Oryctolagus cuniculus: one gene and its partners. The protein of the gene in region 4 interacts with the protein of the main gene of each other region in a pairwise test. Links are inferred from orthologs where the notes say so. Each region holds a gene or a part of one and is shown on either strand. Other genes may lie near its edges.

What was found.
Region 1: the proteins of KHDRBS2 (region 4) and RBM3 interact in binary tests that used the Homo sapiens proteins (3 or more experiments, as listed by UniProt). The link is inferred for Oryctolagus cuniculus from reciprocal best matches to the Homo sapiens genes KHDRBS2 and RBM3.
Region 2: the proteins of KHDRBS2 (region 4) and PRR3 interact in binary tests that used the Homo sapiens proteins (3 or more experiments, as listed by UniProt). The two-hybrid records come from large-scale screens. The link is inferred for Oryctolagus cuniculus from reciprocal best matches to the Homo sapiens genes KHDRBS2 and PRR3.
Region 3: the proteins of KHDRBS2 (region 4) and CHTOP interact in binary tests that used the Homo sapiens proteins (3 or more experiments, as listed by UniProt). The two-hybrid records come from large-scale screens. The link is inferred for Oryctolagus cuniculus from reciprocal best matches to the Homo sapiens genes KHDRBS2 and CHTOP.

The regions. Positions count from the first base shown.
Region 1 is NC_091453.1:33,791,343-33,795,331, reverse strand, and holds the start of RBM3 (RNA-binding protein 3), read right to left. Parts: upstream 2,801-3,989; 5' UTR 2,561-2,800; intron 2,385-2,560; exon of another isoform or gene 2,149-2,384; intron 2,013-2,148; 5' UTR 1,996-2,012; coding exon 1,893-1,995; intron 1,694-1,892; coding exon 1,587-1,693; intron 941-1,586; coding exon 835-940; intron 736-834; coding exon 642-735; intron 262-641; coding exon 189-261; coding exon of another isoform or gene 182-188; 3' UTR 157-181; intron 1-156. UniProt on the Homo sapiens protein: Cold-inducible mRNA binding protein that enhances global protein synthesis at both physiological and mild hypothermic temperatures. Reduces the relative abundance of microRNAs, when overexpressed.
Region 2 is NC_091436.1:139,856,957-139,860,955, forward strand, and holds the start of PRR3 (proline-rich protein 3), read right to left. Parts: upstream 2,801-3,999; 5' UTR 2,507-2,800; intron 2,305-2,506; 5' UTR 2,288-2,304; coding exon 2,188-2,287; intron 1,509-2,187; coding exon 1,446-1,508; intron 1-1,445. Other genes in the region: GNL1 (guanine nucleotide-binding protein-like 1), read left to right, coding at 3,402-3,474, 3,880-3,999.
Region 3 is NC_091438.1:44,672,275-44,676,444, forward strand, and holds the start of CHTOP (chromatin target of PRMT1 protein), read right to left. Parts: upstream 2,801-4,170; 5' UTR 2,498-2,800; exon of another isoform or gene 2,485-2,497; intron 1,216-2,484; 5' UTR 1,199-1,215; coding exon 1,134-1,198; intron 1-1,133. Other genes in the region: S100A1 (protein S100-A1), read right to left, coding at 3,971-4,114. UniProt on the Homo sapiens protein: Plays an important role in the ligand-dependent activation of estrogen receptor target genes. May play a role in the silencing of fetal globin genes.
Region 4 is NC_091436.1:110,816,507-110,820,006, reverse strand, and holds part of KHDRBS2 (KH domain-containing, RNA-binding, signal transduction-associated protein 2), read right to left. Parts: intron 2,797-3,500; coding exon 2,598-2,796; intron 1-2,597. UniProt on the Homo sapiens protein: RNA-binding protein that plays a role in the regulation of alternative splicing and influences mRNA splice site selection and exon inclusion. Binds both poly(A) and poly(U) homopolymers. Phosphorylation by PTK6 inhibits its RNA-binding ability.

The DNA.
Region 1 (3,989 bases), on a different chromosome or scaffold from region 4:
AACCCTGACATGCACTGCAAGCAAAAAAGGCCCAGAAATGCTGGGTGGGTAAGGGATGCGAGGGAAGAAATGCTAACAGTCTGGAAGGAAGGCAGAGAGAAGCACAGCAGGGTTCGACAGACGGAGGTCTGCTCACTGCCCAAGTCCAGGCCTCACCTACGGTATGGGCACACACTGCATCTCAGTTGTCATAATTGTCCCTGTAGTTTCCTCCTGAGTAGCGTTCGTAACCACCCTGGCTTCTGGGGAAAAGCACGTGAGCTTTACACGAACATTATACACAGCTATGTATGTCATGTTAACTGAATGCATAAAACAGGACACAGCAACTTCAAGACTATGTCTAGGGAACACAGCTTCATGCATACAAGTTACACGTACCGTATTAAATTCTATCACGTTTGGTGCACTAGAGTCACCAATCAAACACAGCACAATCAACACAAAAGTATTACCACTCAGTCCTGGTGCGATCAAATGACCACACAATGCATTACGTAACACAAAATGTTGTAGTTCATACCCGTCCTTAGTGCACACTAGTAACACCTAGGTGTGACAGGCGTGCGGATCCCCAGGCAGCTGAGCGCTTAGGGACAGAGGAGCGGAGCACCCCACCCCACCCCACCCCGACTACCAACCTGCCACCGTAGTCCCGGGACCGTCCATATCCGTATCCATATCCTCCAGGTCGAGAGTCATACCTGCTGCTCCCATAGCCCTGGTCCCCACCACCTACAGCAGGTGAGAAATATTTAAGCAGCAGTTGTCCAGACACACGGTACTAATAGGCGGATGCCCCACACGCCAGGATCAAACTGACTACACACTCACCTCTGGAGTAGCTGCGACCACGCCCATGGGCCCCAAAGGCACCCCCTCTGGTTCCCCGGGCAGACTTGCCTGCGTGGTCCACGCGGATCTGCCGACCATCCAGGGACTAGGCGTGGCAGGGAGACACAAGGAGGGCGGATTGGCAGTCAGTCAGGGCAGTGGCGAGCTCAGAGCGGGCATGGGCAGGTGGGCCTAAGAGCCCAGAAATTCCTGCTGGGCACCAGGTTCTGGGTGCCATGTTCCAGAACAAGCTCCTTTGACCAGAATGGCTTCATCAGGAGCTACAGCATCCCACAAAATGACCTGTATCCACCGTGTTCCCCCTGCCACTACTTACATCTTGACTGAACTCAGGCTGAGTTCTCCTCCCCACTCCTCTAAGCTGCCCGACTATTAGGGCTAGACAGACACCTCTCTTGGTTTGAGGCTTCCGAGTCCATCCCAGAAGACTCACGAGGTCCTCTCCGGGCCAGGCCCACAGGTCTGCAGACTCTACTACCTAAGCCCAGGGCAGGTCAACCATCCACAGGTGGCTTCTCGGCCTCATGCAGGACCAGTCGTCGCCTCCCAGGCAGCCCGGCTCTGTGTGCCGCTGCCCTCCACCCCCTAGAACAGAAGGCAGTCACGCTCCTGTGAGTGGGCACTGCGGGGCTTGGTGGCCACGCTGCCCCTAGCAGACACAGAGGGAAAAACAGAAGGAACGGAGGAACGGCAGATGGGGACAGGGCCCCTCTGCAGGCAGAAGGCCTCACCTCTCCATTCATGGCTCTCATGGCGTCAGAGGCGTGCTCTGGGTTTGTGAAGGTGATGAAGCCAAAACCCCGGGATCGCTGAGTCTCCCGGTCCTTGACAACGACCACTGCGGGAGGAGAGAGATGGGAAAGGCGGTGACGAGGGTGGCCTGCAAAGCAGGGACCAACACAATCTCACGGAGTCCTCCGAAATGTACACTTCAGGCCTAGGAACGCGGGAAAAGGATAAATCGACCGTCTGGGTCCTCCCTGAACGTTCCCTGACATGACCTGCTCCATCATCGCGGGTCCGACTCCAAGTCTCACCCTCAGAAATAGGCCCGAAGCTGCTGAAGTGGTCTTCCAGCGCTTGCTCATCGGTGTTGAAGTTAAGCCCTCCAATGAACAGCTTCCCTTCTTCAGAGGACATGGCAATGAGTTCGAGTCCTGCGGGGAACGGAATGGACCAGGGTATTCAAAAAAAAAAGGTCAGGCAAACTAAGGATTAAAGAGATACACAGAAAATACACAAAAGGGAACAAAATAATGAATGGGTGCAATCTGAAAGGGAAGGAAAATCTACCGGTTTAGAGGAGTCGCCATTTGAAGGCCGCCATTGCGCATGCCCACAACCTCCCAGGTGCCACGCCCGTCATTTTGTACTGCTGCGCAGACTCAGAACACTCGCGCGTTTCCTCCGCGCGCGCACAAGATGGCGGCGGTCACGTGGGGAGCGGGGGGGGGGTGTCCCAGTGTCCCGGCCGTCGTGTGGTCACTACTGCCCCGGACGCTGGCAGCCTTTCTCTGCACTTAGATAAAGCGCGCCAAGCTCCCAACAACCGACATGTTTCATGTGTACGCACGAAACCCGCCGCCCACCCCGACCAACGCCTAAGCATACGTGTCAGCGGCTGCTCCCTTCCCCACCCGCGCCCCTTCCTCCTGGCCGCCGCAGCATACCAAGGGAGTCGTTCTGCGAGATTTACTTTGCTTACCTAAAAATTAAAAAGTAAAAGCGGCAGGCAAATGGCCACCTCGCGGGAGCAGAGAGAACAGGGAAGCAGCCGTGCGCGAAGACGCCTGATAAAGCACACGTAGAGGGCACGTCACGGGACGTCCTCCCCCACTCCGTCAGTCAACGTGCTCTGGCGTGCCTGTTCACTGGCTGAGGCCAGAGGAAGGGTGGAGAGGAAGGGATGGCAGAGCGAAGGGAACAAGCCTCTCCGTGCGCGCCCGGGAATGGAGCCCACGTTTTTGCAATTGGTGCCCCCTAACGGCAGCCTCCTGCCTGCGTCTGAGACACTTTGTTCCCTTGCGCGCGGAAACCATTTAGCTCTCACATCCCTTTCTGTTCCTATCACCCTCACTGTCCTTGATGTCATTTTTTCCACTTGGCTCCGGTAGCCTCCTAACATCCCTGCCAACGTATTTGCCGTGCTCTGCTCTCAGCCTCCGTCATCTTCTAGTCCCCTCCCCTCATATCCCTTAAGGGCCTGACGTTCCCATCGCTCTTGCCTTAGACCCTACCTTTTCTCAGTTTCTGCTTTTAACTCGTAGGTTTTCTCCTGTGTGACCCACATTTAGCCGCTTGCCCTGGCACCCTTTATCCCGGCGTCATTCCTTTGTATCTCTGACGTCAGCCCTCATTCTCTCTGCTTGCCCATGAAGCCACCCTCTACAGGAACTGCCTGAGATGCTTTCTACAAAACGTGACGCCTGGGTCAGGTGCTGTGGTGTAGTAGGCTAAGCCTGTCTGCAGTGCCGATGTCCTGTATGGGCACTGTTTCATGTCCCGGGTGCTCCTCTTCTGATCCAGCTCTCTGCTATGGCCTGGGAAAGCAGTAGGAGATGGCTCCAGTCCTTGGGCCCCTGCACCTGCATGGGAGACCCTGAAGAAGCTCCTGGCTTCAGATCAGCCCAGCTCCAGCTGTTGTGGCAGTTTGAGGAGTGAACCAGCGATGGAAGACCTTTCCCTCTCTCTCCCTCTCTCTGTCTATGGAAGATTTTTTTCTGTCTCTCTCCTTCTCTCAAATAAATAAATAAAATATTTTTTAAAAAAGATTTTATTTATTTGAAGGGCAGAGTTACAGAGAGGCAGAGAGAGAGGTCTTCTATCCACTGGTTCACTCCAACGGAGCTGTGCCGATCCGAAGCCAGGAGCCAGGAGCTTCTTCCAGGTCTCCCATGCTGGTGCAGGGGCCCAAGGACTTGGGCCATCTCCCACTGCTTTCTCAGGTACATTTTCAGGGAGCTGGGTCACAAGAGGAGCAGCCAGGACACGAACCGGCACCCATATGGGATGCCAGAGCCACAGACAGAGGCTTAGCCTACTGCGCCACAGTGCCAGCCCCTACTGTATGCTTCTAATCCAGCCTCCTGCTAATGGGCTTTCTGGCTCCTGGCTTTGGCCTGGCCCAGCCCTGG
Region 2 (3,999 bases), about 29 Mb from region 4:
ATTCCCTTTCCTCCATCCCTCTGCCCCCCAGCCCCTGGTAGCCACCATTCTATTGTTTCTATGAGTTTGACTTGAGATACCTCATGTAAGTGGAATCATACAGCATTTGTCTGTGACGGGCTTGTTTCACTTAGAAAGTCCTCCAAGTTCATCTGGGTTGTAGTTATGTGACAGCATTTTCTTCCTTTTTTAAGGTATTCCATTGTACTTTTATCTTCGCTTATCCATTCTTCTATCAATGGACATTTGGGATGCTTCCAGGTCTTGCCTACTGGGAATACTCTACGAACATGGGTGGGCAAACATCTCCTCAAGACCCTGCTTTCAATAATTTTGGATATATATCCACAAGTGGGACTGGATCATATGGCAGTTCTAAGTTTTTGAAGAAATTCCATATTGTTTTCCATAGTGCTTGTACCATTTTACAATCCCATCAATAATGCATACGAGTTCCAACTCCAACGTGGTATATTTTCATTCTGTATTTGATGACTAATGATGTTGACTACTAGTTCACACAGTTTGGGTCCATTAAGATCTCCAGAATCTGTTCTGGTCTTCTGCCAATTTTTCTAATGAACTGTCTGGAAGAGTTCTTCTTATATTCCAGATAAGAGCTCTTTATTGGTTATATTTGTTGAACATACCGTCTTCTACTCTATGGCTTCCTGTTAATCAATGTCATCTGATTAAAAGAAGTTTATGTTACCTAATGTAGTTGAATATAGTAATCTTTTCTTTATAATTTGTGTATGTGTATTTCTCATCTAAGAACTGTTAGCTACTCTAAGACCAAGAATATACACTTACTTTCTACAATAATTTTTCTTTTACCTTTTATACTTAGATCTGCAGTCCAACTAGTACTGTTATTTTTAAGACTGTGAGGAGGTTAAATTCCATTCGTTTCCTACACGACTATCCAACTGATCTAGCATCATTTATCGAAAAGACCACTTTTTCAGTTCTATCTTTATAAATGAAGAGCTCACACACGAAGACGTCAAAAAATTCACAGAAAACACATATTAGGAAAAAACCATGCATGCACTTTGAAAATTTTAGGCACCAAGATAAACTTATGTTTTAACTGTTTTCCATCAATTTTTTGAGGCACTTTCATTATGTGTGGGCCTGTTACTTGCCTTTTTAATCTGTTCTGTTGCATCAAAGTCACAGCTGTAACCACTGTAGCTTTACAAAAAATCTTGATGTTCAGAGTAGCCCTCTCACTTACACTGTCTTTACAGTCTCTCACCCTGATTCCCTGCATTTTCACGCCAATATTATGACTTTTCCAGTCTGTGAATGCATAACTTCTCTCCATTCACTTAGGCATCGAATCCTGGATTGTAAGATGTGAAATTCTTGCTAGGTTTCACTTCTCCTCTTGCACCCTTCTCCAGCATCTAATACAAGGATCCGGGTCCCCTCCTCCTCACCTGACTTGGGGTCACCAGGCTTTCCATTGGCCATGGGGGGAGGGCCCAGAAGGCTGGGTGGTCCTAAGAGTAGACATGAAAATACCGTCATCAGAATGGGCTATGATCCTGTCCTCAGATGTCCTTCTAGAATGCACTCCTTAACTCAATCAGCGAAGTGAGCTATGTATCATCAGTGTTGCACATTCTCACCCCATCTGTGGGCCCTTTCCTCTGCCAAGCTGTTTCCATGTTCTGCTAGAAAGCAGAGACTCAGGAAACCCGGTCATGCAGGAATGACGCTGACCACTGTCTTTCCCTCATACTGGTGCAACCACAACATCCTAGGTAATTCCAGGGCTAATTCAATCCCCCACCTGAACTGCTGGCCAATCAAACAGCTCTTTTCCCCTCCCCCTCCCCCAGGGGAGTGCTTAAAAGGCGGCCGCACTGCATTCTACCCTCCTAGTTTGATCTCAGACTGCGCTCCCACCCGCCACAGCCTGCAACATCGCGCACCTCTCCTCCTGCGGCTGCGCACTCCGCACTTTAGCTTTTCCTCCCCCGCCTCCTCCAGAAAGGTTTGGGGGCCGGATAAAGGCCAGGAGTTCAGGTGAGTAAACTCCTGGCTTAAAGCTGCATGCAGGACAGCCCCTTCCCCTGCGCGTGCGCCCTCGCGCCTTCCGTGAGCGCCCCCTCCCCCGCACCTGCCTAGTCCCTGGCCCCAGCCTGGCCCAGCTGCCGAGAACGTGCGCTCCCTTACCCATGGGACAACCATCTTCCTCGTCTCCAGTCTCCTCCCGCTCGGGCCGTGGGGGCTGCTGTGGCGGCGGCTGCGGATTCTGCTTCTTTCGTTTCGGCATCGTGGCTGCGGCAATGGCTGCAGCGGGATTTGGAGGGCAGTGAGGAAGGGGCACGCTGGAAGCTGTTTCCGCTTCCGGGGGGAGCCCGGTGGGCAGCGGGGCTGAGGCTCCCGCCATTCCACTTCCGGGAGGCAGCGGGGAGCCCCTGCCGCGGCCGCACCCGCCCGAAAACCGCCCCGCTCCCGCTCTGCTAGGCACGGCGGCAACCTCAAACCTTACCTTTGCTGCATCTCTCCAAGTGCTTACAAGTGCCCTCTCCTCCGCCAAGAAACACCACAGTGTGCTGCAGAGCCCACGGGCTTCCGGGCCGGACGGCCTGAGAGCGGGCTGTCGCGTCCTAACGTCGCCACTTCCGGTGCCCTGTTACCATGGGAACAGCCGCAGGCACAACTCGGTGCCCTCTGACCTCCCTCCAAAAGTCCTTGTCCCACCTGGGTCTCCCTTCCCGCCCGCGCTTGGGATCTGCAGACCCGCCCGTTAGCATCGAAATTCGGGTCCCAGCAGGTCCGCGCCCGGGAACCGGCAGAACGCCACCCGCCCCTTAAGACCTCCGGCCGTGCCCCACGAGTCGCCAGCAAGCGGGCTTCCCTCTCGGGGTGCTCCGTCTCCGCTTTCCACCCAGGCCAATCCCCGCTCGGTGCTGTCGCCTCGGCGCGTCCCCGCCCCCTCCCTCCGAAGGTAGCTGGGCCCGCCCTCCGCTCCGCCGCCCCCGCCAGGTGAGTGGTAGCGTCTCCCGGGAGCGCAAGGTAGTGATGACACGCGCCCCCCCTCCTGCGGGCGCCCGTTGGTAGCGTCCGTGACGGAGCGGGCCCGATCCTCCCACGCGCGCCTCCTCCTCCACCGCCGCTGCGCCCCGCCGGTGCCGCTGACTCTCACGTGCCGGCCGCCTGCCCCGTCCCCTCAGCCCCTCGCCTCGCTCCGGGAGAGACGTGACCACCCCGTGTCTGCTTTCCGTCCCGGCAGTCGCCGCCGGCCGGCCCGGCCCGTCCGTGACGTCACCCGCTAGCCCCGCCTCCTCGAGGGTCCCGGGCCCTGGCGGCGGGGGCTGCCCCCGGGAGTCAGTTGAGGCGGCGGGAGCTCGGCGGAGGGGCGGGCCCGGTGACTGGTCCGGGCCATGCCGAGGAAGAAGCCCTTCAGCGTGAAGCAGAAGAAGAAGCAGCTGCAGGACAAGCGCGAACGGAAGCGAGGTCAGTGCGGGAGCGGGCGGAGGGGGCGGGGCTCGGGCTCCCGCACCTCTGAGGGAGGGGTGTGCCCGCTGCACCTGGGGAGGGGGCGTGGGAGGGGGCGGCGAGCGCGCGCCGAGGTGCGCGGGCGGCCGTGGAGGGGTTCCCCCATAGCTGGAAGGGGTGGGCGAGGATGGGGAGCTGGGGGAGGGGAAGCCGTTCCCGCAGCTCCCTGGAGCAGCGACTGCCCCCGCGCACATCCGGAGGGGTCCTGGGGCGCGTGGCTGGGAGGGCCGAGCCGCGGAGGAAGTTGGGTGGGTGGAGGGGAGCCAGGCCTCCCGGGGCTGGGGCCGGGGCGGGGGCGTGGGGGGGGGGTCTTATGGCCCCTGAGAGCCGGCCAGCGCTGGCGTCACCGGCCCCTCCCCGCAGGACTTCAAGATGGGCTGCGCTCCAGTTCCAACAGCCGCAGCGGGAGCCGGGAGCGGCGGGAGGAGCAGACTGACACCTCGGACGGGGAGTCTGTGACCCATCACATCCGCAGGCTTAATC
Region 3 (4,170 bases), on a different chromosome or scaffold from region 4:
GAAATGCAGCTAAGTGCAGCACATTCAATCCAAAGTGATAACAAGGGCTCAGGTAATGGCTCTCAGAGAAGTGGAAGGTATGAAAAACACGCAATAAGCAGATATGACAAGAGACAGAAGATGTAATTTCAAAGACAAACAAAGAAAGCTTAAACCTTGGAGGTTTTTGAAAAGAAATATGAGACCAGAACACCTTCAAAACCCATGACAACACCATAGCCATAGAAGTTATAGGAATGCCATCAATTTTTAAATATATTTGTCACTCAGTAACATGTGGATATGGAGGACTAGTGTATCTGAAGAGAGAAGTACATAGGCTCCAGAAAAGGCAAAAGGAGACATTGTAACCTTTTAGTGGTCCAACACTGGTTTAATAAAATCACTGCTCAAAGGTAACTCAGTGAGCAAAGTTCTCAGAGATAGAAACTGCCTTAAATACCTTAACTTTTCTTAGTGTCAAATGATCACTTTTTCTGTCTCCAAGCAGTTATCTTTGGAAATGATTAATTCAATCATTTAAGGGCCCATGAAGACACTCCTTTTTTGTTCTTGTCATGGTTAAGTTTAATGGAATGGAAGAGAAGAACACTTAACTGTAAAAGAATCCAAAGCAAAAACAAACTAAAAGCAGAATGGAAAGAAAAGTGAAATGGAGCAAAGCAAGTGCCTCTTACAAGGCCCAAGAATGACATTCGAGGGCCTTTGGACATAGTCACAGCTTGCTACCTGCCTCTTACAGGCCAGATGCAACACTGCTGGCCTTGGACTAGGCAGCAAGCCTACTGCAGCCAGGGTCCCATGCTCCCATGCTGCACAACCCCTGTATCAACGTGTTCAAAAACAAAAACAAAAACAAAAAAACTTGAAGAAAAGGGAGGGTGTGAGGAGTCTTTTTAAAATACATCCCACTGGATAAATATTTCAGACAGCTTAACATAAAAATCTACTGATAAGGGGTTTTGAAACAACCGCCCAATTTGTTTTGTGCACCACATTAGATGTAACTAAGAACAGAGGTCTGTAGCCTTCTGTTGATATTTAGCTTACAACTGTTTTGTGCATTGGACCCCAGGGCCAATTTAAGTAATGTTTTCTTAGGAAGGAGCTGAAGTTGTTGTTGGCTGCCTCACCGCTCATTCAGAGACATCTTGGTGGTGCTTTTTAGCACAACTTTCGGCGCTGACTGAGCAGCCATCTTCAGATCCCGAGAATCTACAAAGGACAACAGCAGAATGAGCAGGTCAGAATAACAGCCACCTTATACAGAACAAGGCCCAAACCACCGAAAAAGCCTTACCACTGACTCCTGAGGAACACGGGAGGGTACTTCAAAGTTCATGGGAAACGGAATTAAAAGGTAACTTTGCTTTGGTAAGAAATTTTTTAGAATCTATGCATGTAAGGGATCTATCCTGAAAAAGTTTCTGGAGGGGCAGGCATTGTGGTTCAGCTACTCCACCTCCAGAATAGCTCCCTGCAGGCCTGGGAGGCGGCAGGTGATGGCTGAAGTATCTGATCCCTGCCACCCGTTGGAAAACCGGATGGAGATCCTGGTTAATGGCTTCAGCCTGGCCCAGACCTGGCCTTTGTGGCCATCTGGAGAGTAAACCAGCAGATGGAAGATCTCTCTTTCATATACACAAATGCTTAAAAAAAAAGTTTATAGAAACGTATACTACAAAAGACTGCATAGAATGCAAAAATTATTTTGCACCAAAATGTCTTTCAATTCAATTTTCTATAAAATTTTAAAAAGCACCCTCAAATCGAAGCTCACTTCAAGTTTACATGAGAAATTATTCAATTTCAAGGCCAAAAGGCATGTAATATCTGCCAAATGGTCCAAAATGGCAGAAACAGCTCAAGAAGGTGCAAGAGAGTCTGGCTTTCGATCCAGACTCGTCCTTTTCAGCCTGTTTTTCCACAGGGGGCTTTCAAGAAACAGATGCCTGGGCTCAGACCGATCAAACCGCAATCTCTGATGGTGGAGGTCTGGGGCTCATCAATAGGGGCGTGGGGGGAGGGGTAGCTACCCAGGTGCTTCTAATGAGTAGCTGAGGTTGACAGCTGCCGGTTTAGAAAGAAAATACAGGCATGCCTAGTCTCAAAATCGGTTTCCTATTCCCAAGTCAGAACTTAACAACGGACTAAGGATCTGGAGAAAGGAACAGGAAAGGTTCCCTAAACGGGCATTCATCTGGGAGCTGGCTCCCAGGGAGCCCTCTACAGAACTTAACCCTAAGCACGCCACTGTTTCCAACACTAGTCTTCAAAGCCCTGTCAAGACCGCCAACTTTGCTCAACTCGTCCAACGATCTTTCTTTTCCTCGGTACCCAACGACAGCCTCCGTGAACCCCGCCGCGGGGTCGCGGCCGGCGCAGCCCCTCCCCCCTCCGCGGCCCCGCCCCCTCCCCCGCGGTCCCCGCAGCCCACCGCCCCCCATGCGCGTCCGCCGGCTCCTTCCGCTCCCCTTCTCTCACCACAGAGACGCACCGAAGGAAACGGACGCCAGTGCTCCTCCCGGGGCTGCCAGCACGGCTGCGGCAGGGCGGGCCGGGGACCGGCCGAACCTCAGTAATTGACGGTGGAGGGGCTCCGGTTAATTAGATGGGCGGTTGGGTCAGATGCTTAAGTGGTAGACTGCGAGGCTAGTCCGTGGCTGTTGGCTGGCTGTGTCGTTGGCCGACCCGCCTGATCGCCCGGCCTGCCCTTCCCTGCCTTCAGTCTGTGCCACCACAGCTGCCGCCGCCAACTCCCGCTCGCTCTCCAAAACAAAATGGCCGCCACGCCCAGTGCGGCATGGGACCGGCTAAAATGGCGCCGACGCAATTGCGTCAGACGTTGGATCCGCGCACTAGTAGGGGGCGGGGATTTGTCACGCCCTGCGCAGAGCTAGGGGGCGGAGCCCTGGGTGGGAAGGAGGGGCTTTAGAGTTACACAGATGGCTCCGCCCCCGGGGCGTGGCTAGTGGCTTCGCTATTCTAGCGGGTATTAACTGCTACCTCCTGGAGTTGTCAGCGGCCCTGCTCCCAAGAGAGGTTTTAGTCCCGTTAGGAAAGAGTTCGTGTTCCTTCGGGCCTTTCTCCCCACGCCCTTGGCTAAGGCATCATGTTTACAAATCTTAAAGCGGAACCTGCTTTGGTCTCTGGCAATGCCAGAGCCGGGTGATTGGCACTGGTGGCTTTCCCCCGCGCCCCTTCGCTGTTTGGGTCGTGAAGTGCTGCAAAGGCCAGGGCAAGCCAGTGCTGGGGGCACACCTCCTGCCATCCGCCGCAGCCTCCATTGCCCGTCCATGTTTTCCTCTTCCCTGACTTGGCTGTTTTTCAACTCTCCTCTGATCAGGTCCCGGATCCCCCTTCCCCTCCCCTCCCTGGGAATTTAGTGCAGACCTATGAAAGGATTTTCCTTATGGCCACACAATCACGTCCTCAAACGTTGGAGGAAAGAGAGAAAGCACACAGTGGGGGCTTCCTCTACCCTCGCTCTGGGCACTGAGTTGTATGTGTGCATTTTTAGTGGGCCTCTCTCCTTGCTGGACTTCACCCAGTGAGGGTGACCATGGTGTTTATTTTGCTCACTGCTGTATCCCCAGTTCCTGCACAAGGTAGGACCCCTGTAAATATCTGCTGAGGATTGAAAGGAGATTTTTCTGTTTTTACAGCTGGGAAGCAGACGTCTCCCCTTCCAGCTGGAACCTGGAACCCCACTGAGCATTAAGGCAGATGGAATGCACGTGACCTCCCTCCAAAATAAGTGGAGCGAAACCCCTCAGGGCTGCCCTTCCGGACCCACAGGAGACAGACACCAGACGGCTGGCAATAGAGGAGCCTTTAATGAGAGATGAGCTGCAGGGCGGGCCTGCTGCTTGGCGCCCTGGGTGTGTGGGGGAGTGTGAGGTGGTAGCCGGGTGTAGGGGCAGGTCTGGGGGGACGGAGCGGTAGGGCGCTGCCCTCTGGGGCTGTCTGCTCAACTGTTCTCCCAGAAGAAGTTGTTACAGGCCACTGTGAGAGCAGCCACCAGCACCACGTACTCCTGGAAGTCCACCTCCCCGTCTCCGTCCTCGTCCAGTTCCTTCATCACCTTGTCCACGGCATCTGCATCCTTCTGGGCCTGTGGAGGGGGGAGAGAGCGGGAGAGGTGTCCAGCACCGAGTCCAGGGCCAGAGG
Region 4 (3,500 bases):
ATTTGGATCAAGACTAGGAGACAGCCCGAGGGACAGTTTCTGCTCGTGACTAGAGCTAGACATTATTTCAATAGCAGCCCTACTGTGGCCATATTTTGTTATGTGTTCAGTCTCACTGATCATACATATCAAAAACTCTATAGATAGGAATGGAACAGGAACACATAATAGGAACAAACAGAATCAAAGTAAGAGATGAGACTCCTTATAGCTTTCTGGTACCTTGGTCCAGACTTTTCTTAATGTTTCATAGCACTTCTCTTACTATATTTATGAACTTAGATTCATGTTACACTCCTGCCTCTGCCAGTTATTTTTCTTTCCTAAAATAAGCTCAAATGCTTCTATTTGTACTCAATAATGCCCATCTGATTCACAAAATCTAGGTAAATGTCTATGACATTATACATACCACGTCTTACTGAACACCAATATTATTATAGGTACTTAGAAATGTTTCAGTGCTTAAAAATATTTATATCTGATCTTCAGGACAGTCTAGTGGGGCTGAACTGACCACCCCCATTACATAGAAGATAAATCCCAGCCTCAAACTATCTATAAAGTCATACAACTGGTGACACAGCTGGAATTTAAATCTTAGGATAGGCTGTCTGTTTTGAAACACTATTCCTGTCCATTCAGAAATGCTGCAGACTGTGCTGAATACCCTTCAGCAGAATCTCCAACTGAATTTTAACTTCTTGCTTTGAACTCCTCATTTCAATAAATGGTGACTCAATTTAACCCAGTTTTTAGATCAGAAATAGAAAGATCATCCTTTACCCTTGTCTCTTTCATACAACACATACCTGTCCATTCACCAAATCCAACACATCATTTTCACAGTGCACTCAGAATCTGACCTCTTTTTCCCCCCCTCCAAGCCCTCATTTTTATCAGTGGCAGAATTTTGCCATGAGTTACTAGTTTCTCTGTTTCTACTGCTGTGTTCATCCCCACCCCTATATTCCATTCTCCATGATGCAGGCAGAATAAACCTTTTAAAATAGAAGACTTGCTCTTGATTTTTTCCCCCACTGGTTAAGTTGGAATGAACGTGAAAAGTTACAATTCTGTTTTGTTGATCTTGTCCTCTTTCATAGGGCCATATTTCTCATGTAAACTTTTTGATTAATAACAATGTTCACTACAGAAACCTAAAAAATCTCTTTTGACAAAAAAAAAAAAAAAGTAGATCTGATAGTTCAAGCCTCTGTTTGAAGGACAAAAACACCATAGTAGCAATGGACATAAAGATTGTGGTGCTAAAAGGTTACTCAGAGATAAAAAATGATCCCATTATCCCTGTTTTGGAAATGTAGATGTCTCAGACAAGAGTTGGCAGAACCAGAGCTAGTCCCTCTGTTTTCTGACTCCTGGACTTGCTCACAATATTGTTATGTTTTCTGATTCTAAGATCTTAAATATCTAAGGTTTTAAATATCAATGCCTGATGCATAAAAGATACTTTAGATGAACCTCAACTATTGCAATAAAAGTAATTTTTGTGGTTAATTTTTCTTCACTTGCAGTTATTAGGCAATATTTCATAACTTCCCCCAAAATTAACACACATAAAATATTACTATATACTTCATGACACCTATGAACTGTTTTATTTTAGGATTGAAGTCTGATTATTAGACCATTCTTAAGGCATTTATATGATTTGAGTGCTCAGCTTGTGATGGTAACCCTCCTAGAAGAGTTATATTTAATGAGCATAATTCACAGAAGACATTTAGAGGAAAGAATGTTTGTAATGGTTGAATGAAACAAACAGCTAGATTGGCGATAGGCATGCTGGAGTGGTTAAAGGAAAAATGAGTTTGTTTCTTAGGATGATCTTAGATGAATCTTGGATTCAATTTTACATTTACAGTGGACTTCCTATGGCTACACAAATGAATAAGAAACTCATCTATTTAGAAGTTTCGAAATCTAGAAAGAGAAATGGTTACAAGACTGCTCTACAGTGTCACAGGTGCAATACAGATGACCTGTACTGAAAGCCAAAGAGTGGATGTACAAAATGATCAAGAGATACAGTGGACGGAGGGAGAAGGGTGCTTAGAGATATTGCGATGTTTCTGTTCATTCTAGGCTTTTTGGCATTCTTTTTGCCCATCTTCTTTCTTTCACATGATGAAAGAAAGATATGTAAGCCCAGTCACATACATGCCCTGGCATTATCTCCAAAGTTTATAATATGATCACATTACATTTATCAACTATTTCTGAGTTTTATGCTAGCCTTTTTTATGTCTCAGGATTATTCTCTGAAAACATGACAGTTCATATCATATTTATAATTATTTTCTGATTAAACATCCTCAAGAATACCTCAAGATAACTTGAATCTTAAAATGCAAGCTATTTAATTGTCATTAACAACAATGATGGTACCTGTAACATGAAAACATTTTTCAAAATGCTCTCATTTAAATGTGCTTCTTACCCTCTGTTGCAAATGACATTGGTTTTCCACAATAAATATTACCTGCTATATTCATAATATGTGACTATTTTTGAGACTTATCTTATTCACTAATCAATTTGATTCTTCCTCATAACCAATTTTATCAGGTACTTACATATTCTTCATAAGCCTCATGGGATGGAGGAGGGGGTGCCCTGTATCCTGGCACTGTTGGGGTCCCCCGGGCTCGAGGGGTAGGGACACCTCTCGCTACTGGGGGCACTGGAAGAGCTCCACGAGTTACAGTGGTCCCGCGAGGGGTGAGAACACCTCGACCAGGTGGTGGGGGAGGAGGAATGGCACCCCCACGGCCCCTAGAAGAAACAGGGTTAGAACAGATGAGAAACAAGTGATGAGACAAGAGGCTGTAACAGCTAAAGCTCCTACCTCACAGTTCCCATACAATGGGAGAAATTCAAATTTATCTCCCTCTACATGTGGGTAGTAGAGATCATTTAGTTGTAAACTGCTCTGACCTCCATATAAGCACACATTTTATAAAAACTGTGACTTAATTCTCCTGAAAATTTTGTAAAATACTTTGATACTATCTACAATATAACTAAAAAACCAAAGTAAAATAGAAATCCCACTCTGATTATATTTCATATTTTCTGAGAGGATTCAAACCGCAGAGCATGAACTCACTGGACCATCTATGAAATAGAGCAATTGTATGTCTGTGTTTCCCCCATACTGGGGGTCACTGACTGTGATGTGCAATGTTGTCATTTACAAAAAACAAAGTCTGTTTGCACGTTAATAAAATGTGGAGCTCTAATCATATGAAAGCATTCAGAGTATTACATTAGTTTAAGTTTGAGGTCATTTGAAATCACAACTCATTGTCACTAATTTTTCACCACACCTGTAAATCCTGAGCTGGTGCAGTCCCCAACATAATGTATTTTCTTATGGTAACCATAGTGCTAGTGGAATACATCAGTACTCTGCAATAAAAAGAATAGACTGAACACTCTGTACTGCAGTTCTTGACACAAAAGTAACCTGCACTAAA